Medicago truncatula: one gene and its partner. The protein of the gene in region 1 binds, or shares a complex with, the protein of each later gene. Links are inferred from orthologs where the notes say so. Each region holds a gene or a part of one and is shown on either strand. Other genes may lie near its edges.

Region 1 (7,349 bases):
AAAACCATTTCAAACTAAAAGTGGTCGGAACTCTTAAGTGGAACCAATTGCTGATTTCGTTTACACAAATCTTAAATTCAAAATCAAATCGCATTATAAATGAAAATATCTTTAGACCCTTTCAATGTTTTCTTCATCTAAAATGAAATGTGTGACATATAGTGTTGCATCAACATGATGAAGCTTCCTAATATATCTAGTAAACACTAAAACAAAACTGCAAAAGATATTGATGAATAAGCCTCTGGTCTGAACTTGTGGTTACAGGGGAAAAAATTAAAGTCATCTTATAGATAATGTGCGATTGTGCGCTAAAACAGCTAAATACAGTTCTCATACGTGATTAAAATGCATAAGCTCAAGTCATTTCATGTATCCATTTTACCTTTCCAGAATAGAGGGCTTACATATATTCCTAGTTCCTTAACATATTATGCATAGTTTACAAGAACAACTAAAACAATAAAAAAGGTTAATTATTTTCTGCACCAAAATATTTAAACTTAGAATAAAAAATTAAACATTCATGAAAGGGCTAACTTACTTGTATGATCTCAACTTTAAATGGACAGTTTTCCAATTCTTTACGAGCATATGAAGTCATCTTACTTTGCATAACAAGTATCAGCCTACTCAACCTTTCTTTGTCCACAATCTGGCTTTGTATAACAATCAAGTTGCTTTTTCTGATATCATCCGTTCCTGGGAAAACAACTTGTACCTGCAAAGCAGAATTTCCTGAGCCACAGTACAGCAATCACAAAAGTGAATGTATAAAGCACCCCTCATTCTACGGCATTAGGTAACAGTGGATTAAAAACATACAAACAGTTAAATCATTCGGCCGTAGAACAAAAAATGAAACTGATCTTGAACAAATGAGGGGGAATCTTATGTCACCCAAGATTGATGAAAGGAATCACAACTCACATAACCGTTCAAAGATAATTTATCCTTACATAACAGTTCGAAGATAATTCATTCTCACATAACAGTTCTGTTATTATTAAACCGTTGAGGGTCACATTGGATAGTGATACAACCTGAATTGAAATTGCCATCATTTCTCTCCGTGTATGTTTGATTTGTGAGGTTGAGTTGAGTTAAACTCGACCCAAATTCTAAGCCGGTATCAGAGTCTATTCTAGATTTGTTGGACCAAAAGTTATTGATCCTAATTTGGCCTAAATATTGTTATAAGTGGTGAACATCCCTCGTCTTACAACCTAGTTTTGTGGAGTTGTCTCAACTCAAATTCTAAAGTTAAAAATGACTATCTATATATAAAGCAAAAACATTCCCAAAATTTCACCACAGTTAAGGTTAGTTTTGGGTCTTGGATGGAGTGAATCAGTACATACTGTTAGTATGCACTCTCATTCAATCGTTTGCTAGCATGTGAAAACATTTTGCGAAAAATATTCTTGTTGTTTTGTATTTTTCATCAATTATTAGCCAAAAACAGAGAATGACTTTTGCAGCAAAATGGAGAGAAATCACATATGAAAATATGGTGACTTTTTCCTTATGAATAATCAATTGGAAGAGCAATAACATAAAAACTATTGCTCTTTAGACCTTCAAAATTACTATAGTATTCATGTTCAGTATGATACAAAACAAAACCAATTAAAATAATGAAACCAACCAGAAGCATATTAAGATTGTGAGAGTATCCAAATACATAACGATCCATGTAAGTTTGAGAGCAACAAAAATAGGCATCACTCATATGCAAAAAAAGACATGCTCTGCCACTGAGACCTTCATATGTTTCAAAAAGTACCTCAAAAACCTCCTTATTCCCATTAAAATACCAATACAGCGCCATACAGAAACAATGTTATAAAATTGAATCATGTAAAAACATTCATTTTCTAAAAGATATTCAAAATCAAATCAAAATTAAACAAATACAAAAAAAAAACCTTCCATCTTCTCCATTTCAATCAACTCATCCATCCAAACAACAAATCACATATGAAGGATTCAAAATCACACTTGTCAGATTCAAAATCAATTCCAAAAACTAAATTTCAGTTTCGAATCAGAATCACTTTTGGATAAATGAATTCTACTAAAAAACACTAAGGGCCTGTTTGTTAAATCTAATAAAATATTTATTTTGTCATTCAATAATTTATGTTTTTTTAAGTGTCATGAACATAGCTCAGTTGACAATGAAATATGCATGACTGGTTCGAGCTCGAGATTACACACGATGTTAAACGTGAAATTATGGTCACTATTTACAAAAATTTTTTTAGAGATTTTTTAAGAAATAAAAAAGTAATTCTTGGTGATGGTCAAGGTTTAAACCCTGACCTTGCATATATTATACGCATATTTTCATTTTTAAAATAATCATATGTAAAAAAAGATTTTGAAGACAAGCTACTCACTATAGCTTTCCATTTTGCAATTTTTAGATTATTTTTTCCTTTCAAAAGCCCATAAAAAAAATTAAAAAAAAAACTTTAACCAAAATATCAAAGTTTTTAGGGGTTGTATAGCTCAACTAAAAACTAATTTAACAACTAATTACATTTGTCTTTAAAAAAATCATATGAAAGTTTTAAAGTAATGGTTTTTAATGAAAAAACATGCCCTAATGTAACACTAATTTCGCCTCACTATACAAAAAAATCAATTACACATTCAACATCACATAATAATGGAAACGAAATGCAACAAAACATTGAAATAGTTTCGTGAATAAACCTGAGAAAATCAGTAACATTGAATAATACCTTGATGGAGGGGTTAGAGCGAAGAGAAACAGAAACACCAAGGGTATGAGGTTTAGGAAATTCACCAAAACGTGAACGAAACTCAGAAAGAGAAAGAGTGAGATCAGATTCAGAGACATTGTAGCCTCTATCATGAAGCATATCCATCAGAGTCTTTCTGCATTCGAAGTAACGAATGGTTTCAATGTTGCTTTCTTCATTGCATATACGAACCAAACATTCGCTTCTTGTTTCGTTTCCGTTTTCAATCATCGCCATTTTCACCAAAACAAAAAAAAAATGTTGCAGTTTTTTTTTTGTTGAGTAGGAAACTTAGTAGAGAAGGAGTATATGTAACACTAATTTCCGTTACGATCTTTTTTGTCGTTTTCACAAAATATTTAAAAAATAAAAAAGTGTAATAATGACTTTGGTCTATTGATGTCAATGGGTATTCGGTACTAGTAACATGATATCCGTCCCGCCTCTTTGGATAAATATGATAACCGTGTCTGCTCCTATATATATATATATGTGCTGGTGTGGATAATTCATATGCATTTAGATACCCACGAATATTCGCGGGTACTTATGAATTTTTTATTTTGTTTTGTGCAATGAAAATACTTTTTTAATTACCAATAAACTTCGACTTTTAAACATCCATATATAACATGTTTTATTCAAATTATATAATTCATACCATAATTCAAAAAGCGACGGTTGGAATAAAATTCAAATATCTAAAATCTTCATGAAATAAAAGCATAGAAACCTCCAAATAAATCGACATAACAATGATATTTGAAATAAAATCTTATAACATTCACTAACAATGTCATTCACCGCTTTTGTCAATATATATAGACACGCACAGATGGATATTTTAGTAATTTACTTAATTTATTAACGGGTACAAATACATGCGGACACGGGTATCATCAAATCCGTGTTCGTGTCCATAAAGTAACGGGTAGTTAAATACTCGTTTATTATATCTGCTGGTTCACGTTTAGCTACCCGCCTCGTGCCCATTACGGATTTTAACCACAAATACCCGCGTGCATGGATTTTTTCGCCAACCCTACTTTGGTCTTTGAGTGTGTGTAGAGAATTGAGTCAGGTATAATTGATTCTGACGGAATTGATTTTGTCACAATTGAGTTTAGTAGAATTGATTTATGTTTGGATATAATAATGTAGATTTGATTAAACAAAATGAATGTTGTTTGAATAATTTTGATCAAAATTACTTTTGAATGTAAGATTACTATAATGGATACGGTAAGAAAAAAGGTTGAAAGAAAGAGATGACAATTAAAGAGGACAATGAATAAAAGTAATGGTGGTTTAATGTAGAATTAATTTTAGCTAACTCAAAAGCTATGAATCCTAACCTCAAAAGAGAATTGTTTTTGAAGGTGATAATTGATTTTCAAAAGTTGAACCAAACAATGCGTTGATTTGTGTGTGTTGTACTATTACTCGCATATTCATATACTCATTATGTGACATATTTTCAACTAGGTCTTTGACTTCTTCGTACTTGGTCTTCATATGGCGTCTAGCTGAGGCATCCAAAAACATTGTGTTTGGCCCTCGAGTCCTTGTGTGAAAATATGTATTTGATTGTGTTCATCAATTACATGATATAAGCTCCTTTTGTGTAGTAACTTAAAGTGCTCATATGCATCGTTGAGAGATTAATTCCTATAATCATTGGACATAATCATAGGAACATTGAAGCTTCATGGGTCTTCAAGCTTTTTGTGGGACCTGTATTTCAATAATATCACAACAATTTTTTGTTATAGAGACAAATTCTTCATCTCATTGTTTGGTTGTCGCCTTCTTAATGTCTTGAAGAAAATTAACACAACACGGACTTTGCTTAAACATTTCCTTGATTAGTGTCTTTGTTATAAATGTTGCTAAGGCTTTAATGACCTTTTGAAAATTAGCATCCTCATCTTTTGAGGTGTCATCTTCTTCAAGTTTCTCTTTTCCTTTTATCGATTTCACCTCCATCATCGGTATCTCATTGTCATAAGAATCTATGAATATTACCTAGTTTTTTTCTCTTCTTTTTCTACTATCCTAAGATTATTTTTCTATTTCTCTCATGCAGGGCTGGACCTGTAACGCCCACTTTCGTTTAATCGTTTATTTAATCGAGTTTAGGTGATTATATTATAATTATATAATATATGCATGATTTTGGTATGTTTTGATGATTTATGATGATTTGATTGATGACGTGATAAGTTATGAGTTTTGGAGGATTTGATTATGATATGAGATTTATTTTATTGTTAAATAGAATAAAGATTTGAAGATAATATAAAATATTTAGTTGAGGGCTGTTTTGATATTTTAGATAGTTTTGGGGGAGAAAGTGAGATAAGATAAGTTATTAGAAAGAGGTATAAATAGGAGAAGACCTAATTTTTTAGAAACTCATTGTACGTGAAAACTTTTGAAAAGGAAGAAAAAGCCAAGAGAAGAGGAACCTAGAGTGAGGGCTGCGATTTCTTCATACAAGGTAAGGGTGAGACTAATAATTCAATAATGTTATTTACTGTAATTCTGATGATTAGTTGACAAAGTTAGGATTGATTTAGAGAAGTTTTGGAATTAGGTCAAAACCCTAAAAATTGATGATCAAACGGTAAAACTTGTTAGATTGATGAAAGAACCGTCCTTTAACCTTAGAATATGTTTAGGAAGAATTCTGGAATCAAAACCACGCCTTGAACCATGTTGTGTGATGAATTTTTGAGAAAAACCCTAGTCTGCCCGTGCTTCTGTTCATCGCTCGCCACGGCGAGTGATGATCCTCGCCTCGCGAGTGATGAACTTCATCGCTCGCCACGCGAGCCCCTTCCCTTCGCCTCGCGAGTTGTTTGGCGCAACTCGCCATGGCGAGCAACCCTTCCTCGCCTCGCGAGCTTAGGCAGAGTGCATGTCATATTTCGTGTTTCGACCTTTTTAGTTGAATCTTGTATGCCTTTGAGTACCTGAACATACCTAGTATTGATTAGGAATGAATGTAGGATCAGAGGGAGCCCAGAACAACCTTAGTTTGGGAGATGAGTGTTACTCGCCATGGCGAGTAAGTACTCTCGCCTCGCGAGTACAACTAGGATGAACTTGTTTATGTGTTTATGCGATCTGTGTCGCACTTGTTGATCAAGAGTGAACCCCTAACTGGTAGTGAGACCTAGTGATGTCGTTTAATGCAGACTGTAGAGTTGTTTAAGTTATATTAATATCAATTGAATATGAACTATTATATTGTATATTCATGCAAGATAAGAAGATGTGTTAATGATACAAGTTATGTGCTTTGATATAATGATATCATCTTGTTATGTGACTTGTTTATGCTGCTTTCGTTATTTAACTAAGTGCATATGTATATGATGAAGTTTAGCTCCAAATTATTGGATGCATGTTGATAAGTTGATTACGATGTTTTGTTCATATGTGTCCATGCATAGCATATCATTGAGCTTAGTCCTCACAACGAATATTAGGAGCTTTGTCCTCCGCACGTTTTATAGGAGCTTTGTCCTCCGCACGATTAAAGTATATTAATACTTATGATGACGATTGGTACCACATGCATATAAGGAGTCTAGGAGCATTGTCACATTGTCATGATTAAGATGCCTTGTTGATAATGAATGAATATGTGATTACGTGATAAGTGTTTATTGATTATGTTACGTTGTTCGTAATGAATTGGATATATGATTACGTGATAACTGTTTAGCCTTTATGCAAAGCTAATAATGGAATGATTATGATGTTAATTTATGATTCGCAATTACATTGATTAATGTTATTTTATTATGAAATCTCACCCCTTCTGCTTGAAAATGTTGCCCTTCGTATGGGTAACTTGCAGGTGATCGTGCTTAGTGTGCAGTTGCTTCTGTGAGTGGTCTTGCCTCACTGTGTCGTCTAGGTCGCTCTGATACGTAACGGGATGGGGTTTTATGCTATAACATGCTACATTCTCTTACGTGAACTGCCATGAATATTTACTGTTTTGATTAACTCTATTGAGATACTTGTTGGGCCTGCGTGCCAAAACGTTTCATGAATTATGGTTAAGATTCTCCGCTGCAAATGTTTAAGATATTGGTTAAATTATTATTTAACTGTTGGATTACGTTATATGTGATATCCCGTTGTTTGATGTTTACTCTGATAAATGTTATGTTTTTAAAGAAATTTTAAATATTGGGAAAACGGGGTGTTACAATTGGTATCAGAGCAGGTCGGTCCGTCCGGTCAATTAGAGAGTCGTGTCGAGTCTTAGTAATATTTATATTACTATCTTATGTTGTTGTTGCTACTTTTGTAGAATCTCGGAAATGGCTGGAAGAAATGATGCTGCGTTAGCTGCTGCTCTACAAGCTGTTGCCCAAGCTGTGGGACAACAACCTAACGTGAATGCCGGTGCGAATGCTGAAGCTAGGATGTTGGAGACGTTCATGAAGAAGAACCCTCCGACTTTCAAAGGACGTTATGACCCTGATGGAGCCCAGACGTGGCTTAAGGAGATTGAGAGGATTTTTCGGGTTATGCAGTGCACGGAGGATCAGAAAGTGC
Region 2 (7,681 bases), on another chromosome or scaffold:
ACTTAAATAATGGCCATATTCAGTGGTTGTAGCCAAATTATACTAGAGCATCAGTATATATACATAATAACAAAGTTACAGAAATTCTCTAAATATAAAGTATACAGTAGATAGATGGTAATGGCTAAACCGATGAATGGCAAAATTGAATTGTTGCTAGGAAACTAATGTCACCACAACCAATATTATGCTGGGAGATCATAGTGTTATGAATGTCGAAACTATTCAAAACACAGATATACATAAGCTTTTCAAGTTCACTGCTTTTCAAATAAAGATACACATTTTCATACTTACTACATAAACCAAGAACATATAAAAAAAAAAAAATCCTATTTCAGACTCCTTGAATTATAAAAATACCATACAAATTTTATGCTTAAAAGTATAAAACCAAATCCGACAAAATTCAGAAAATATAAATTTTCAGATCAGTTAACATGTAGTAACTAACAGTGCAGCTGCAGTAGAAGCGATAGCTAGTTAAAAAAGATTTCAATGATGACCATATTCAGAGGCCACAGTCAAATCATGAACATAAATTGTAGTATATGAAGTACAGACTCAAACACGGACATGACACGGTGATGTTGACACCGATAATAATTTTAAAAAATGACATAAATCAATGTAATCATATGTTTTGGTGTCAGACACGATACATATCCGACACCGTGACACGCCTAATCCGAGGAGTATATGTGCTTCATGTATCACCAATCCAAGATAAAATGCATAAGGCAGCTGACAAATCATATGCAAATTGTAGTTTACTTGGAATCACCAATAATGAATAGCAAAAGTGACTTTGCTGGTAGGAAAGGAAACTAATGTCACCACAATCAATATTTTACCAGGAGATGGAGTTATGATTGTAGAAATCATCTAAACACATTATACATAAGCTTTTCAAGTTCACGTCTTTTGAAATAAAAAACAAATGTCCCTACTTACTACATAAACCTAGAACATATAAAAAGTCTTTCCTAATTAAGACCCTTTGAATTGTAATATATTCATACGAATTTTATGCTTAAAAATGCAAACCCAAATTCGTCAGAATTCAGAAAATATAAATTCTCATATCAGTAGTTAACATGTAACTAAGAGAGCAGTAGAAGTGATAAAAAAAAGGGCAACCCGGTGCACTAGAGCAGTAGAAGTGATAGCTAGCTAACAAATACTTCGACCATATTCAGTGGCTATAACCAAATCATGCACATAAATTGTAGTGTCACCTTTCTAAAGATAAAATACATATCGAAATGGGAATAGAAAATGTTTTTACAAAGCAAACGAGCCGAAGTTTTCAACTTCCATAAGCATTTTATCTTAGATGGCGACACTGCAATTTTCGTGCATGATTTGGCTATAGAAAATACAAAATCCAAGGATTGCAATTTTTTTTCTTTCTCCAGCAACTGATTTTACAAACAAACCCCATATTCAATGAGAAGAATTTAGACAAAGGTTATATTAAGATTTCTTTACAAACACATACTTAACGGAAAATTGAAAGAAAACAAAAAAACTAAACAATAAAGCCATGCACATTGATATATTGGTAAGAGAAACAAAATAAGTCAAATTCGTATTTGTTTGCAAGTGATAGAACCCTTAAGGGGGTAGTATCGTTAAGTGTTTGAAACAATGTGATGACGGAAGAAAAAAAAAAGATACCAAATATTGCTGAGAGGGATAAAAAAAACTAACCGAGTGAAGAAGTGCAGCAAGAAACTCGAGGAGGGAGATCGTGGCTGCAAAGATATTCAAACATGGGGATCCGTAAGCTTTTCAAATAAAGATACACATTGTCCTACTAACTACATAAACCAAGAACGTATTCAGACCCTTTGAATTATAAAGTAATCATACAAATTTTATGCCTGAAATGCGAAACCAGATTCGACAAAATTCAGAAAATATAAATTCCCAGATCATTTAACATGTAGTAACTAGCAGTGCAGTAGTAGTGGTAGCTAGGTTAAAAAAGAAAACCGTCTGTTTAGATCGACTTATTTGAGCTTATCTACTGACATAAGTTTTGTGAGACTGTTTGGGAGAACTTATGACATTGTTCATAAGCTGTTTTGTGTTTTCAGCTTACTTCCATAAGTTGTCTCAGATAGCTTATGAAAACAGCTTACAGCTTATACGAAAATAAATTAACTTTATTTTATCTTTAGTCATATCAATAAGCACTTATCATGATGCTCTTACTATAGACGGTAAATAAGCTGTTTATCCAAACAAGGACTTAAAACAATGACCATATTCAGTGGTTGTAGCCACATCATGAACATAAATTGTAGTATCACCAATACACGATAAAATGCATGAGGCAGCTGAAAACTCATGCAAAAAGTTAAGAAAAACCTATGGATTACAGTGTTTTTTTCTCCAGAAACTGATTTTACACACAAACCCCATACTCAATGGGGAAGAAGTTAGACAAAGGTTAAATTTTAAGATTTTTATACAAACACATAGTTAACAGAAAATTTAAAGAAAACAAGAGAAAGCCATGCACATTAATATATTGATAAGAGAAACAAAGCAAGTGAAATTCGGGTATAGTGATAGAACCCTAAAAGTGAAGTATCGTTAAGCATGCAAAACAGAGAAAAAGTGAAACAATGTGATACGCAAAACAGAAAATTATCAACTACTGTTGAGAGGAATCAGAAAACTGGAGTCTCAGTATATATACATAATTACGAAGGCACATAAACTTCTTAAATACAAAGTATACATTAGATGCTAATAATTAAACCAACGAATGAACAGAGCAATTTTGTTGGTAGGAAACTAATGCCACCACAATCAATATTTTGACTTGAAATAAATTTGATAGAGTATAATTACAGATGAAAAGGAGAGGATGAAGATGGTGGAGCAATGTAACGACCGCCGGAGACACACTGAAGGAGGGAGGAGTCGGCGGCTAGGGTTTGTTTGAGAATGAGAGAGTTTTCCAGATTTCTTTGGTCAAGAGAGAGAAAATTAACTTTGAAATAAATATGGTGTGTGTGGAATAAAGTTAAATGACAAAAAATAAAATAAAAAGAAAATTATAAAAAAATACACTAGGTTTGTACGAGATAGAAGAGAGTTGCTGTTTACACATATGATAGGGCTGAAAAACACATGTAAAAGACGAAAATGCCTCTGCGGCAGTTACCTACCGAAGTTTGGAACCGGCTGTAGTTAACTGCCGAACTACGGCAGTTAACTGCCGACGAAAAAAAAAAACCTCGGCACTTTACTGCCGAGGAACTCATAATTATTTTTTTTTCCTTTTTCATTTTGTTTAATTGGTATGGGCATGGGATAGCTTTCGGACTTATATTTAACTTTGATGTATGAAAATTCTGACAGATCCATCACTTTGCAAATAAAAATGCTGAGGCTTAGTGGCATCTACAAGAATATTTTGAAAAATTTTAATGTCAAGTTGATTGAAGGCCGTGGAAAGGTGGGATGATTCTTTGGATACATTTCCATGTACTAAATAGCTTTGTAATTTTAAAAAAGAAAAAATATCAAATTTTTATTGTGCTGATATTGCTTTTGTAATCTACAGATTGTAGATCCTTGTTTTAAAAAAAAAAAAAAAAAATTGATGAATTCCTCGGCAGTAAAGTGCCACTAAAATGCCGAGGTTTTTTATTATTATTTTTTTTTAACTTTTTTCGTCGGCAGTTAACTGCCGAAGGAACTTCGGTAGTTAACTGCAGCCGGTTCCAAACTTCGGTAATTAACTGCCGCAGGGGTAAAAATGTCATTTACTCGTGTGGCACAGTCTTATGTAATGTGGGAACAGCAATTCTCGAGATAGAAAGAGGTAAAGGGGTATAGACTTTTTTTATTGCAAAATTAGTGTAACATAATAAAAATATAAATAAATAAATTCTTTAAAAAATATATAAAAAATAATAATAATAATATTAATTTCTTTATCAAATAATAAAAAAATAGTAGTAGTTTATTTAACCTCTAAAAATATAATTTAATAAATGTTATTTTACACACACACACACACACACACATATATATATATATATATATCCAACGACGTGTTTTTTTACAAGATCTAAAGACGTGTTGTTACATTAATTAATGAATATTAAAATTTAATTTTTTTTATATTCATAAAAACATAAGGTAAATATATTTCATTGTTACATAAAAATAACGGTAAAACATTGATCGTTTGATACGTACAACATACCAAAGAGAGTAGTAGAAGAGGAGTGATGTGTATAGATTTGAAGTGAGGCAGTAAGAGACGATGTATAAATAGTTTAAAAGACAAGTTTTAAAAAAGATTGATAAAATATATTATACAAGGGTCAACTCATCACTTCAGAATTTTAAAATAATTGTTGTAAACGAGACAAGTTGTCACTTCGCAAAATTTTTAAAAATTATTATAAACAAGACATGCTGATATAAATTTTAAAATAAGTATTGAACATATTTTGGTAGTGGTCGGAGTTTGAACCCCAGACCTTGGATATATTATGCATTATCCAAACCAATTGAGCTAAGCTCACGAGGACATAAGTATTGAACATATGATTTGTCATCACTGATATATATTATAAAATAATTATTATACACGAGACAAGGGATACACTAATATATATTATTAAACATTATTCTCATTCCTTCAAAAAAATATTATTCTCCTTTTTATTCAAACCATAACGTAAGTGAAAAACTAACTTAAAAAAATAATAGAATTATACACATCATTTGTTATCATTGAATACAAATTCAAAATAATTATAACACAAAGAGACAAGTTTTAGCCGATATGAATTTTAAGATATTTATTAACCATGTGACATGTCATCACTGATATATATATATATATATAAAAAGATAATCCCCGTGAGCTTAGCTCAGTTGGTAGGGATATTGCATATTATATGCAGGGGCCGGGGTTCGAACCCCGGACACCCCACTTCTCCACAAATAAGTTGTGTGAGCTATAGCCACTAGGCTACTTGACCAAAAAAAAAGAAAAGAGAAAGAGAGCTTCAATAGTATGCATTTCGTTTGGAAAAAGAAGGCTGGTCGGAGTGGTTAGTCGCCAGAAATAGAGTGGCAGCTGCTAGGGTTTCTAATGCGGGTGGAGAACACTTGAATGTGAGAGAGAGAATGAGAAGCTGAAATGAATATTTGGTTTATGATTTTCTTTATTCTAGTGTTATAATTTGGGCTATTGGCTATTAATGGGTCGAAATTTAAAGAAGCTCGTCCTATTTTCTTTTAACTCATTTAAAAACAAAACTTTTTTATCTCAATATTTTTTTTGAAAGTTCCTTTTAAAATTTTGACAAAAAAATAAATAAAAATTCCCTTTCAAATATATGGTATACGGGAGAGAGAGAAACTGTTATCTTCTCTTTCAAAATTAATACCACTCAATTAATTTTTATTATATATTTAACTATTTAAAAATATTAAAATTATAAAAAATAATATATTTAACTATTTAAATTTCAAAATTATTTTTCTCAAAAAAAAAATAATAATACTAAAACTATGGTTATACATGTGACTATTCACCAATATTTTTGCTCATGTTAGTTATTGATAAAAAATTTAAAACTATGGTCATACATGTGACTATTCACCAATAATATAATTTTAAAATGATTATTATACATTGGACAAGTCGTCAGTCTCACAAATTTTTAAAACAAATATTATACATAGAAGAAGTTGTCATTGTTAAAAATTTAAAATAATTATTATATAATGGACAAGTCGACACAAATAAAAATATAGAAATAATTATCATCACCGTTAAACACATACACGAGATTGTATTGATTAGATGTGCAAAATAAATACTAAGCTACATATTATAAAATAATTATTATACATGAGCCAGGTTGTTTTTGATAAAATAAAATAAAATAGTTATAACACAAAAGACAAATCGACGTTGATATAAATTTTAAAAATCTTTATTTCACACTTGATAAGTGTTCAATGTTCAAATTTAATAATTATTTGACACAGGTCAAATCGACACTGATAAATTTTTTAGCATAATTGTTATAGACGATATAAGTTTTTTTTTAAGGATTATAGACAATGTCACTGTTGAAAATTTAAAAATTTATTATTATACACATGAGATGTTGTCAATAACATAAAATTAAAATAATTATAACGTACAATACAAGTCAACAATTATACAAATTTTAAACTAACTATTCTATATAGGACAAGTCGTCAGGGATACAAATTTTTAAATAAATATTATACATAGGTAGAATTGTCCATGGTAAAAATTAAAAATAATTATTATGCACAGTACAAGCCGTAATATATATAGTCAAAATGTCATTGATATGTGAGACGTGTGAGGATTTCGGAAAGTGAATAATAGAAAGAGAGTGATAATGTGTATAGAGTTGAAGTGTGGTAGACTCTGTTTGGTAAAAATAGCGGATAGCTGATAAACTAGCTGATAGCTTATAGCTTTTAGTTGATAAGCTAACTGAAGTGTTTTGTAAAAATAGCGGTTCAACTAGCTGATAAATGTAAAATGACATAAAGGGTATTCTTAATTCATAATAAAAATTATATCATTAATTTAAGTATTTGTAATTTTATAAACTAACTTTTCTTTAAAAAAATACTTTAAATTTATTAATTTAATATATCCTATGTATTATAAATTAAATTAAATTTTATTCACTAAAATTTTATCTTATATTTATTATCATTTAAGTGTTTCCACTTTATAAAAAAAAATAACATTTACCTCAAAAACAAAAAAAAGGTAGCACTAATAGAGTAATACTAATAACAGAGAATAAAGAAAATAACACTTACCTCAAAAAAAAAAAAAAAGTAACACTAATAGAATAATAGTATTTTGTTTCGTAAAAAAAAAACGAAGGTATATATATTTTCAAAAAAAAAAAAAAAAAAAAAAAAACCTGCTGATATATATACAAAAATTGGAATAAAGGGGTAGTAGTCTTTATTACTTAGCTTATTATAGAAATTATAATGGATAAAAATACAATTTAAATGAAATAATAAGGGTAAAATTGGAAGAAAAAGTGAGAAGCTATAAGCTATAAGCTCAAACGCTACTTGGAATAGCTTCTGAAAAATAGCTTATAAGCTCGTGAAATAAGCTATAAGCTCATGGTGAAAAAGTGTTACCAAACAGAGCTTTTTTTGTCAAACGAGCTTATAAGCTATAAGTTAAAAGCTAAAAGCTCTTTTTTGGGGTTAACCAAACAGACTCGTAGTAGTGCGTGTGGTGTGGCGGAAATTTTAAAAACTATCATAAAAAGAAATTTACAATTAATTAATAAATGTACAAAATAAGTTGTCGTTGACTAACTAACTTTTATACACATAACCAATTGTTATTTATAAAAGAATGGTCTTGCTAAAACGTTCATGCTATTTATAATATCACCTCACTTCAAATCTATAATGATATTGAACCCTCATAAACTAATATGCACGGGATAAATGAACATTGACTAAACTTTCAGAAAATATAAAATAAAATACACGGGATAAATTATCATTCACTAAACTAACCTTGATTTACAGAATAAGTTGTCCTTTATAAAAACTGTTCATGCTAAAACATTTAAACTATTTATAACATCATCACCTCAATTCAATTCTAAAA

Evidence for each region.
Region 2: DNA-directed RNA polymerases IV and V subunit 5B (region 1) and DNA-directed RNA polymerase V subunit 7 share a complex: the UniProt entries of both Arabidopsis thaliana proteins name them as parts of the RNA polymerase V complex. The link is inferred for Medicago truncatula from reciprocal best matches to the Arabidopsis thaliana genes RPB5E and NRPE7.

What each region holds. Positions count from the first base shown.
Region 1 is NC_053044.1:5,364,134-5,371,482, forward strand, and holds the start of DNA-directed RNA polymerases IV and V subunit 5B, read right to left. Parts: upstream 3,088-7,349; 5' UTR 3,009-3,087; coding exon 2,751-3,008; intron 722-2,750; coding exon 545-721; intron 1-544. UniProt on the Arabidopsis thaliana protein: DNA-dependent RNA polymerase catalyzes the transcription of DNA into RNA using the four ribonucleoside triphosphates as substrates.
Region 2 is NC_053042.1:37,142,272-37,149,952, forward strand, and holds the start of DNA-directed RNA polymerase V subunit 7, read right to left. Parts: upstream 3,028-7,681; 5' UTR 2,866-3,027; intron 1,758-2,865; 5' UTR 1,714-1,757; intron 1-1,713. UniProt on the Arabidopsis thaliana protein: DNA-dependent RNA polymerase catalyzes the transcription of DNA into RNA using the four ribonucleoside triphosphates as substrates.